Linked DNA regions of Drosophila melanogaster. The protein of the gene in region 2 binds, or shares a complex with, the protein of the main gene of each other region. Each region holds a gene or a part of one and is shown on either strand. Other genes may lie near its edges. The genes, in order: Ssu72 and Sym. A codon is read from its position in the direction of its gene.

Region 1 (4,649 bases), on a different chromosome or scaffold from region 2:
CCAGTCGCTGGATTTTGAGCAACCTCTGCGGCTCTGGCTGTGTAATTACAAAGAGTTGCGGCGCTTTAATCGCACGCGCAGGTCGTCGTCGTCGGATTCACTAACTAGTAGCGCAAACGTAAAACAAAGCGAGTACGGGTACGGAGTCGCGAAGCCTCGGTGGAAGCGGTAGTAGTAATGAAGATAAGCACGATCGTTCCCTGACTGACTGAAGCGCGGCGCGAACCGCCGCAGCAAACAAACGCCCAAGCAAGCACTGCCAATGGCAACAACACCAACACACCAGCAACAACAGCTAAAGCAGCAGACGCTTTGTAACCCCGACTGCGCAGCTGATCGCAGACAGGAGCGGATTCAGTGCGCGCGGGGGCCCATTCGATCTGGATTTACATGTGAATGGAATTGATGGATAACACATAAATATACAAATAATACGATATCATAGTATAACATGGAAATAAAACTGTTTAATCTGAGAGCATTGATCTGATGCGTTGATGAGTTTAATGATGAAATTATGCTAGAATTATGATTCCCACATTACTAAACAACACCCTTACAATTTCTAATCCTACCTAGAATCACGTCGTATTTGGTCAGTGAAAACGAGCAAACGTCAACATTTCTTTTTAGAGTTTAAATCATTTATTATTATTCATTAGTCAGTAGGAATCGATCAGTTCCTTCTGAAGTTAACCTAATGTGTAGCTTAAAAGATATTATGGATTCTGTTCCTTAATTATAGTGTATACAAATGTACCGAGGAGAGATTATGCTATATTACGTGTAAGGAGTTCATGGGGATGTATTCTCTTCAGACATCGGAGGGAAATAGGGTCGACAAGATCATTCGCTAACGTGTTTAAGTGGGCGCTAAGTCTGTCGGCATATCGGCTGCTATGGAAGTTTATTTGGTACCCCAATGGGACACCTTTTAAGTCCCCTTCAATAACTCTATTGCTCACATACCACATGTAGCCCAGATGCATGTCGTGCCGCTCCCGATTGTCTTACTCTAATACTCTGTTCCCCACACTTGGATATGGCTTTTATTAAGAGAGCCTTAGTTGCCATATGGAGTTTGCTTGAGTGGAAAACCCAGTCCAGCTTTTTCAGTTTCCAGGAGCCGTGATAAGGGCTTTCCAACTCAGCGTCCGATCAAGGTGAACTCCGAGGTAGCAGTGGGATGAGACGTAATCAATGGTATTTCCGTCGAAGAGAAGACCTAGGCAGGTTTGAGGTCGCAGGGTAAATGTGACACAGGCCGTCAACAAGAAACCGGCATAAATTGGCGTGCACTTTTATTCCAATCCTTAGTGAACACAACTCCCCTGTTGTTTATTTTCTATTGCAAGCTAGCGCCCGTTGCGGGCCTTTGCCTTTGGTTTAAAACGCACAGCCCCAACCAAGGTCGGTCGGGTTTGCCCTGTCTGAACAATTGGTAAAACTGTGTAAAATTAAAAAACGCGGCCCCTGCCCGCGAGGGCCCAGACCGTTCCGCCCCTGTGTGGCTCTCTGGCGTGCATGCTCATTCACACAATCACGATGCGAGATTTCACTTTATGTGAATCGAATCCGAATCTGAGTCCGAATCGGACTCAAAGCCGGGCGAAGAGAGCGGCAGAGCGGCCGAACGGGAGAACGGGTCGGAGTCAGATGGTCGGCGCCTTCGCCAGCTGAGGGAAGCGAGAGCCTGTGATAAGACCCCCAGTCGACGGGCGAAATTACAAGGAATACGGACACGTACACATACTACTACAGGGGTTTTGGGGGGCAGCCGTGTGGAAATGGTCGTCATTGGTTGTGTGTTATATTCCAATTCATTAGCCAGTTGCTTGCATGTGTGGTGTTGATGTGGATTACGAATCAGGTGTTTGGAGTATGCGAGTGTGTGGGTGCTGGTCGTTGTTGGATGTGCTTTCGCTGCAGCGATGGCCCCTCTCTATTTACAGTATTCTTATATGCTAGGCTACCAATCCGGAACCCAGGATCCGCACGCGCTGCGCGCAATGCCCGACGTCCTATGCTCTGCGATCGCAGCCCCTGGGGTACAAGATCGAGTGACTCGGCTGGAGCGCGTCGGGGCTACGGGAGTCTGGTGTTGGTGCTGGAGCTGGACACGAACTGTTAGCAGACGTCGGTCGTCAGTAGAAGAGCACCGAGTGCAGGATGACCCGCTTGCGGCGCTCCTCGAACTCCTGGATCAATTCGTCGATGTCGTTGTCCAGGTCCGTGGACTTGGCCATCTGCAAAGGCACAAGAATCGTTGGGCGAATTGAGGGAATGGACGACAGATGATCATACCATGTTTATCATGTCTGTGATGACAAAGGCGCCCATTAGCGCATCTTCAGCGTTGTCCACCACATCCACGTTGAGAACGTGCACGGGTCGGTTGTCCACGGATTCCATGGACTCCATGTGCATCACCACCAGGTCGTAGACGCGCTCTTCCACAGTGACGATGATGTCGAACTGCTCTTTGGTGTCCTGAAACCGTTCCGGGCACTTCTTTATGCGACGATTGCGGTCGAGCATGTGTAGCAGGCCGTTCTGTGTGTAGCTGTAAACAGGACGAAAGGGCAGGGATTAGCCAACGGTAGGCCGGAAAAACGAATAACTCACAACTCCTTGTCCTTGGACTCCAGGTCGCGGTAGATGTCCTCGTATTTGGTGCCAAACTCGTAAACATTCGGCTTGTCGAACGCCATGCCCGGTAGCTTGACGCGCTCGCCGGTGCCGTAGGAGCGCACATTGAAACCCTTCTTGGCCAGAAAGTTGTGCGCCTCCATTGAGCGATTCATGTTCGAGGAACAGACTACGGCGACGGCGAGCTTGCTAGGATCAGTCATGTCTCTTTCTCTTTGGCAGTGCGTTGCAATCGCAGTCGTCGAAAAATATGTTCATCAAATTGGAGATGGGATGGCAAAACCACGAGCACGAATATCGATACGATATATTCACGAACATACATTTAACGTGTTAATCTGAAAACACGCGATTTAAAAAATTCTGCAGTGTTTAATTGAACACGTTGACTTCACGTTCAAAATATTCAAAAAACCTAAAAAAAATATACGTTATAACAACTGATAATTAGTACGGAATATTTAAAACTAATTATGTAAAAGCCTCGAGTTTTTGAAACATTTTTGGCCAAACAAATACATAACATACATAGCTACTTAACATAATTAAAGTTCGAGGAGTCCTGCAGCATTAAATATGATCAAACTAACAGCTGGCAATTACCTATCGTAATGTCTTAAAACGTATTTATAATCCTGCAACTTGTATAAAATGAAATATCTCATACTACCCTTAGCATAAAAAAGGGCTCCCCCTGGTTAATATCAATGTTATATCGAATAATTCCAATTTATTAAATCTATTTTAAATTCGAAATATTTTTCTGGACTCCAGCTCCACTACTATTGACACTTTCAACTAGTTATATCGATTTCTTGCCGCCAGTTTACGAACTTTTCAACACTGTCGACCAGTTCGACGCAGTCTGGCAGCGTTGGCGGTCAATTCTTATTTTTGAATCCAACCGAAGTGAATTTGGATACGAAAAGCGCCAAAACTGAGTTAATCTAACTATAAGTGAATTTTGTTACTAAAGCGCGAATTTGAACTTGAATTGAAAGCGGCTTGCAACACCCAATGGCGAATTTCGCCGTCCCAAGCGCATAGGCAACCGCAGTAGTAACCGACAACAACCTTTCAGTTTGGAGCTCGTGGAATGCGGCTGAGCAACTTGGAGCCGTTGCCTCCATTCTTTACCTGTGTGTGGAGTGAGGCAGGAGGACTAGAAGCACCATCGCCACCAGCGGCACCACAACCAGCAGCAGCAGCAGCCGCCGCATCGCGTGTGTTGTGAGTTAAGCAGGTTTGCGGCACAGTGGGTCGCATTGCTTGGCACTTGCGACAATATCAAAACAACCGTTTCTCCCCTTTCCAAACAATTAACAGATTGAAAAGCGTCTAAACTTCTTTTCACCTTTTGCTAACAAAAACCTATTTCAAAAAATATTCCCATTGAACCCAATGCCACGTCATTCTTGCTTGATAATTTAAAATAACCTTTATTTGTTTATTTTATATTAAACCGTAATTGTAGCGTCTTTGGGCCAAAAACATTTTAAAGTAAGCTTATTGTATATCATTTTATATTATACTTTGACAAAAGTGACACAACACAATTCATATACGTTTTGGATATCATTATACGGGAATAACATTGGGACAAATCTTGTAGAAAAAACAAAAAATATTTGTGCTAAAAAGCTACCATTTTGGCCATGATGTTCCACTGTGCAAAGCGGCGTTTGGAGCTGGAATTGATATTGGAATTGGCTCGTTCCACTGCTCACCTGTCCGTGTGAGCAGCGTGTGCATGAGTGGGTGAGGTGAGAGGAAGAGACAGAGACACACAGCGAGAGCGAGAGAGAGAGGGAGAGAGGACCCAACTGGTTGGTCGAATAGCTGCCGGCAGTACCGAAGTTCCTGAGATCCAATATTAGTCGTACTTTGTCACTCGATCGGTCAGGGCGTCGTTGTAGCCTTCGTTGTCGTCCACTTGCCGCCAAATCGGAACGCCTGCTGGCGGTGCTTGGTTATTGGGATTGGGATTGGACATCGCGTTC
Region 2 (6,833 bases):
GCGTGGTGGCGTTGTAGACCAGAAGGCCCTGTACGAGGCACTGAAAACCAAACGAATTCTAGCAGCTGGTCTGGATGTAACGACGCCGGAGCCATTGCCAATCGACGATCCTCTTCTGAAACTGGATAATGTGGTTATTCTCCCCCACATTGGCAGCGCTGACATCGAAACGCGCAAGGAAATGTCCCGGATTACAGCCAGAAATATTCTTGCTGCCTTAGCTGGCGATAAAATGGTAGCCGAAGTAGAGCTGTAAGCCGTGTAATCTCAGCGTACAATGAATTTTTTCCACATCTTTTTAAAAACATCTGTTTGTAATTATGTACAATGTTCTAATTAAATATTTCGTACTTTCAAAGGTATTTTAAAGGTACTGAAATTATTGAAACACTTGTATTACGCCGATGACAGTGCTCGCAATGAACTGATCCGTAAATGGTCGTGGCCACTCAGAATCGAAATTTTTGTGTTATTTGCGTGGGGTATACTCCCAATCTTTTGATCATTAACAAACAAAATTATATTCCTTTATAATGTATGTGGGTGCGGTCAAGACCTTGGTTTTATGTATTATCGCCTAGAACAGTGAGTTTATAAAATTATAGACCTTATCTTATTAAGTAATTTAAAAATGTGTATGAGCAAACAAAACAATTAAACTGCAACTAGTCCTCGCCAGGCGGCAGGGGCTGGTTAAGATCACTGCCTATGGGGGGAGGAACTGGTAGTGGTACTAGAGACGTCAGTACGGGCACTGTGGAAATGACACTAATTTCTGATGGATCCGGTGCCTCTTTTTTAATATGCTCGGCACTGATGTAACCGCCGCTTTCGTCCTGAAAAGAAGATACTCGTATGTAGTAGCTGAACGTCTTCGATATTGGTTCGGTATTTGAGTTACTATTATTTCATTTAAGACTAAATCAAAAAATGCATAGTTACCGTCACGAACACATCAACTGATTTCCCGGAGATGATGTCCAGAACCTGCTGGGTTATACCACTACCATTCATTGGTTCATCCTGCATGCTCTCCGCGTATTCCGACAATGCTGGCCTTAAATCGGGGCACTGCTGCAGTGCGTCCACCAGCTGGGCGGGAGGAAGGTGCAGCAGGATCGGCATTGACTGCGGTTTCAGGCGCTGCACGGTCTTTAAAAAGCCCTCCCAGATTACTTTTTGCCGCCAGACCTGCTTGATTATCAGACGCTGCAACAAGTTCATTACAAAGTTTGCCAGACGCGGGTACAGAGTTAGACTCTGAATTGTTGTGCGCATCATCAGAGTAGGCAGCGGAGTAACCTCTACAAGCTGTTGCAGCACAGCCATAAGTACCTCCTGTGTGTACAGATCTCTTTCAGCCAAACATAGGGATGTAGCCTTAACGATGGCTTTAATATCGCAGACACTCGTATCGATGGTGTGCAAAGCCACGAGAATATCAGTGGGGGTCATGGCCATCGTCTGATGCGCGAATTCGGCACCGATACCAAGCAATCGATTGAAAACCTCCTTGACCACAGCGGGATTAAGTTTAATCAGCTTCGGCAGAACGGAAATTAGCTCGGATCGGGTTAAGCCACTTAGCACGGGTATCATCACGCGCACATCCTTGACCTTGTTCTGGTAGAGATCCCGAACCCGCCGAACCAATTCTTCATGGGGGGATGGCACTCGCTCTGTCAGTATGTAAATTATACGGATCACTAAGGTCTCCATACCCTTAGGACAATCCTCGATTAGTTGCAGCAACGTCGGGCTTTCTACACCCATCTTTTTTATGGGAATATCTAGACTGCGCAAGATCGTGCGTTTCAGTTCGGCAGATGTAGAAACAAACACTTGACAAATTTGCTGTAAGTAAACTATCAGGGGAAGAGAATATTAAGAAATTGATTTAATAGTTTTTTTCTTCTTTAATACGGGACAGCAACAACTTACCTTCCGGTTTATAGGGCAGCAGGGTAAAGGCCAAACCAAAGCACACCTTGGTAGTGTCTTCCCGCCAATCAGGCTCCTCGGTTGGTCGACCAAAGTCCTGCGAGAAAACAGCTGCCGGCGGAGATTCCTGTTCGATAAATTTAAGCCACTCCAGAGCGAATTCGTCTATTCGAGCCGGTAGTATTTTGTGTACATGGTACAGACTGACCAGGTGGGCCTGTGCCAGATCCCGCAGATCCAGTCGCTCATGCACAGAAAAGTTGAGCAACACTCTAACGAAACGATTCTTTCGCGGCGGCCTAAGCACTGCAAGGTCCTTGATTAGCTCCAGGCCGTGCTGGGAGAACTCGTCGTCCAGGCTTAATTGAACTAGATGTCCAATTGAGACTTCCGGAAGAATGGGTGCTTCTAGATATACTCGACGAATCAAAATAATCTTATCCTTGTGATCGCAACGCTCTCCAATGCCGAAGATAAGCTTATTCAGCAACTCGTTGTAGGCGTGATCGGGTCTGTTCTCTGTCTTAACATAAGTGTGCCTTGTAAATCCTTGCAGCAGAGAGTACTCCTCAAAGAGCCAGGAAAATGCCAAATCGATACGCTGTTTTATATCCTCCAGGATGAACTCCATGATGCCGTAACGTACGTTATCGGGAAAGGTGGCAGCAATCACGGTGACCAGCTTACGGCGCTTTGATGACACTCCTCCCTTAATGCATTGCCGCTCCGAGTTGAGGATGCGACGCACTGCATCAGTTAGGAACTTCTCTTTTAAGTTGCGTGGCAGAGGCTTGGTGATCTCCTGCAGCTTCAGCGTCTTGGCGCGCTCCTTCATCTTTTCAATAACAGTCTGCTCACCCTTGGCGCGCTCCATGGTCTCGCGCAGCTTCTTGGTTGCTTCCTCCTTACGCTGAAACTCTTCCTCACTCAGTTTTTGAACAGCATCCTCGTCCACTTCCATTGCAGTTAGTGTTGATTCAATCGCTTGCACTTTCTTAACCCGCATTGGCGGCTCTCGACTGAAGGTTGCGGCACCTGGGCCTAGGCGCTTTTCAGATAGTTGTTCGCCAAAAAATCTGGAGATATTGGTTACCTGCTGCTGAATAGACATTTCGCGAATGGGTGTATATTCCTGAAGGAACTTTTGTGGCACCTCAGTGGGCAGACTGGGCAGGAACTCCAGCACCAGGGTCACAACAGTTTCAGGATTACGGAAATGCTCTGCCAGAAACTTTTCGTTAACTCGAGTAGACTTCTGTTTCTGTCGTTCCAATTCCTCAGTGTCTAGCTCCATTTCTCGCTGCTGCTGATCCTGCTGCTCACAGGCCAAGCGCGCACGCTTTGCAAGACTTTGCGCAGCATTTTCGAGGATGCGTTTTTGTCTACGAGCCATTTCCTGTTTGTCCATTTTGGGAATAAGCTTCTGGATCTCATTTGTGGAGGACCCCAGATCAACTAACATTCCTCGGATAGTGCTTGCAAACTCAAAGGCACCGCGGTTCTTCAGCAATGTCTGCAACTGCATCTTAAGGCTCTTACGCACGGAGCTTACTTGCGAGTCAGTGAGGGTGGGCGGCAGGTTGGCATTCAGCTGCTTAAAGGCTTCCACCACGGCGCCCATGAAAATGGGTCGCATTTTGGCAATTGTACACAAGCTGCTTGTGCAGGCAATCAAGTTCACTGAGGAAATATGCGTTGTTCCGTGGAACTGAAGCAAGATATCTAAAATATTGTTGCCCTCCTCTTGCAACTTTTCACGGCGGAATAGTGTGCAGTGATCGGGGACATCTGCCAGCGAGAAGTCTCCATCTCGTTTCAGACTGTCCTCGTCAGCAAAGCTCTGCAGAACCACGACGCCCTCCAAGAACTTAATGGCATTTGTACGTATGCCGTCGTTTTCATTGTCGATCATGTCCAGTATTTGCGCCTTGATTAAGCTGAGGATGTTCCACGCCTGCTCCGCACTGTCGCCGGGCTCCATGAGGCTGCACAAGTACTGCAATCCATTCTTGTAGATGCTACCGCAGGCTTGGATCACTCTTTTGATTACCTGAGCCGAGTTATCCCTAAGCAGCATAGACACGACGTTAATGACATGGGGCAGTAACTCCACCTTCACTTTACTGGGATGGAAAATATAAATCGTTTCAGCAAGAAGTTAGATCCTTTGATGGAAATCCTTACCAAACTTGCTCTACGAAGGCGACTACCTGCTTGCGAACCTCCATGTTTGAGTCGTGGGCCAAAGACAGCACGGACTCCAGGAATTCTTCGGCCAGCTCCGCGCACGATCCAAGCACAGTCTCCTGCACCTTAGCCAGCAGTTCGCACTTTGTCGAAGGCGATGCGATGACCAGCTCATTGCACCAATCGACCACCTGAATGGGAAAATATATGGTACAATACAGCAGTCCGGACTGTCTTGTCTGATTAAGATTTGTGTTCTACCTTAGCTCTTGCCGTAGCTGTCTTCTCGTCTGTGAACAGATTGGCCGTCTCCGAGACAAACTGGCTGCGTCCAATTATGCTATCCATGTTTGGTTAATTGATGCAGATTTTGCCTAAATCTGCGATACTTCGGATATTTTTAAGAGCTGCCGGCACGGATGGCAAGGTGTTATCGGTACCATTGAGAAACTATCGAAAACGGTTCTATGATGTTGGTAATTCTGCATATTTCCGGACCATCTAGCTATTTTTTGCCAGCTCTTAATGTGTTCAAAAGAAAAAGAATATTTTACTAAAAACTTGGCTTATAATCAAATGAACCGCCTGCAAACTAATTTTCCTTGCTCGTTACCGTATAAAAAATTAATAAATCACATAAATTAAGCCATTTTTGGCATATCTCAGCTTAACGCGTTATTATCGATGAGCATGCCGCAGTTGCGCTGGCCGAGCGATATGCGGGGGTGACTATCGATAAGCCAGAGGCATCGATTTGCTCACATTTCTTGGGTGTTTTAGCGTGAAAAAAACGCCTAAATAAACGAATCGGCAGCGTGTCAGGCCAGAAAGTGCAACAAACGGATCGCAGTTCGCGACGCAGTCGAGGATTGGAACAGAAGACGCCGTCGAAGGTGCCGAAAAACGTCCCAGCAACCGCCAGCCGTCGCAGCGGAGTGTTTACTGGGCGAGGGGTGCAGTGGATGAGCTGTGTGGGCGCGTGCGTGTGTATGTGTGCGCCAGTGAGTGGGGCAGAGGCAGCGGCAGAGGAGCAGCGGCGGATGTAGCTCGTTGCCCGGACCCCGTAGTGGATACCACGAAAAGCTAGCGCAAACGTAGGCAGTCCAACAAAGAAAATAAACACTGGAAACCGAAGACGACGAGGCCTTCTGGAACTGGAACAGCACTGCTCAACAGCCGCAGCCGCGTCGGTGACCGCACCCTAATGTCAAATAGCCAAGCGAATGCCGGCATCAGCGGTAGCACGGTAGCGGATGAACCCATCCAGCACCACCCTTCCTTGGCGGCCGGCCCCGTAAGTGCATCCTGCCCAGCAGCGACCCCGCCGTCGCAGTCGACGCAGCAGCCCCCGCCGCACATAGTTAGTGCCTCAACAGCTGATGCGGGCAGCAGCGCTGCGGTCGGCGTCGGCGTCGTAGCTGGCAGCGAGGGCGTCAATCTGGACTCGTCGCCACGCGAGTCCGGGGACGATTCGGAGGATGAGAGCGAGATTTTGGAGGAGTCGCCATGTGGACGCTGGCTGAAGCGACGCGAGGAGGTGGATCAGCGTGACGTACCCGGTATTGACTGCGTCCATCTGGCCATGGACACCGAGGAGGGCGTAGAGGTCGTGTGGAATGAGGTGCAATATGCCAGCCTACAGGAGCTGAAGTCGCAGGAGGAGAAGATGCGGCAGGTGTTCGACAATCTGCTGCAGCTGGACCACCAAAACATTGTCAAGTTCCACCGCTACTGGACGGACACGCAGCAGGCCGAGCGACCCAGGGTGGTCTTTATCACCGAGTACATGTCGAGCGGATCGCTGAAACAGTTCCTCAAGCGCACCAAGCGCAACGCCAAGCGGCTACCGCTGGAGTCGTGGCGCCGGTGGTGCACTCAGATTTTGTCCGCACTCAGCTATTTGCATTCCTGCTCGCCGCCCATCATCCACGGCAATTTAACCTGTGATAGCATCTTCATCCAGCACAACGGCCTGGTCAAGATCGGCTCGGTGGTCCCGGACGCGGTCCACTACAGCGTCCGGCGCGGCCGAGAGCGGGAGCGTGAACGCGAACGAGGCGCCCACTACTTCCAGGCGCCCGAGTACGGCGCCGCCGACCAGTTGACCGCCGCCCTCGACATCTACGCCTTCGGGATGTGTGCCCTGGAGATGGCCGCCCTGGAAATCCAGCCCAGTAACAGCGAGTCAACTGCCATCAACGAGGAGACCATCCAGCGCACAATCTTTAGCCTGGAAAACGATCTGCAGCGCGACCTGATACGAAAGTGTCTCAACCCGCAGCCGCAGGACCGACCCAGCGCCAATGATCTGCTCTTTCACCCATTGCTTTTCGAGGTGAGTTTTCAAGTCAATTATCTTGTTCTAAATGCTATAAATTCAAGACCCGCATAACAATTGCCTTGTCAACTAGACCTTGCATTCTAATTCTCGGATCCATCGAGTGAGAGATTTAGTTTAATAAGACACCTGATATTATTAAATTTTATTTTAAGTAAATAATTGAAATCTGAAGATTTGAATAATTATATGATTTAAATGCACCGTTAAATATTTAAGTTCTAAATTTGGTTTTATCCGAATCATATCGTAAATTATCTTAGAATTTAATATATTATATTCATGTGTATATTATATATATATGTATATAAATGGAAGGAGAACTAGTAATCAGTTGATAATTCTACAATCCATTTTGACTGTAGTA

Evidence for each region.
Region 1: the proteins of Sym (region 2) and Ssu72 are in contact, whole or in part, in a crystal structure (PDB 4YGX), measured with the Drosophila melanogaster proteins. Residues at the interface, in NP_649580.1 of Drosophila melanogaster: Glu91 (codon at 4,136), Ala117 (codon at 3,997), Lys121 (codon at 3,985), Gln125 (codon at 3,973), Gly128 (codon at 3,964), Ser129 (codon at 3,961), Glu169 (codon at 3,841), Asn170 (codon at 3,838), Asp171 (codon at 3,835), Gly172 (codon at 3,832), Thr175 (codon at 3,823), Asn176 (codon at 3,820), Lys179 (codon at 3,811), Phe180 (codon at 3,808), Arg198 (codon at 3,754), Ser240 (codon at 3,628), Ser241 (codon at 3,625), Val242 (codon at 3,622), Ile245 (codon at 3,613), Ala246 (codon at 3,610), Ser249 (codon at 3,601), Thr281 (codon at 3,505), Ser283 (codon at 3,499), Gln284 (codon at 3,496), Ser286 (codon at 3,490), Ser287 (codon at 3,487), Lys290 (codon at 3,478), Met294 (codon at 3,466), Gln295 (codon at 3,463); in NP_001285455.1 of Drosophila melanogaster: Glu114, Tyr117, Asp118, Val121, Met122, Glu125, Glu128, Ser129, Val130, Asp131, Asn132, Arg133, Pro134, Asp168, Asp170, Asn171, Asp174, Gln178, Glu181, Val187, Ile188, Leu189, His190, Ser191, Val192, Phe194.

What each region holds. Positions count from the first base shown.
Region 1 is NC_004354.4:19,662,849-19,667,497, reverse strand, and holds Ssu72 (Ssu72 CTD phosphatase), read right to left. Parts: upstream 2,938-4,649; 5' UTR 2,853-2,937; coding exon 2,626-2,852; intron 2,564-2,625; coding exon 2,305-2,563; intron 2,247-2,304; coding exon 2,145-2,246; 3' UTR 632-2,144; downstream 1-631.
Region 2 is NT_033777.3:5,737,653-5,744,485, forward strand, and holds Sym (symplekin), read right to left. Parts: upstream 4,825-6,833; 5' UTR 4,477-4,824; coding exon 4,390-4,476; intron 4,320-4,389; coding exon 4,126-4,319; intron 4,065-4,125; coding exon 1,942-4,064; intron 1,866-1,941; coding exon 943-1,865; intron 837-942; coding exon 666-836; 3' UTR 526-665; downstream 1-525. Other genes in the region: CG1236 (uncharacterized protein), read left to right, coding at 1-256; Madm (MLF1-adaptor molecule), read left to right, coding at 5,333-6,463. UniProt on the Drosophila melanogaster protein: Component of a protein complex required for cotranscriptional processing of 3'-ends of polyadenylated and histone pre-mRNA. Involved in germline stem cell transit amplification, differentiation and mitosis-to-meiosis transition.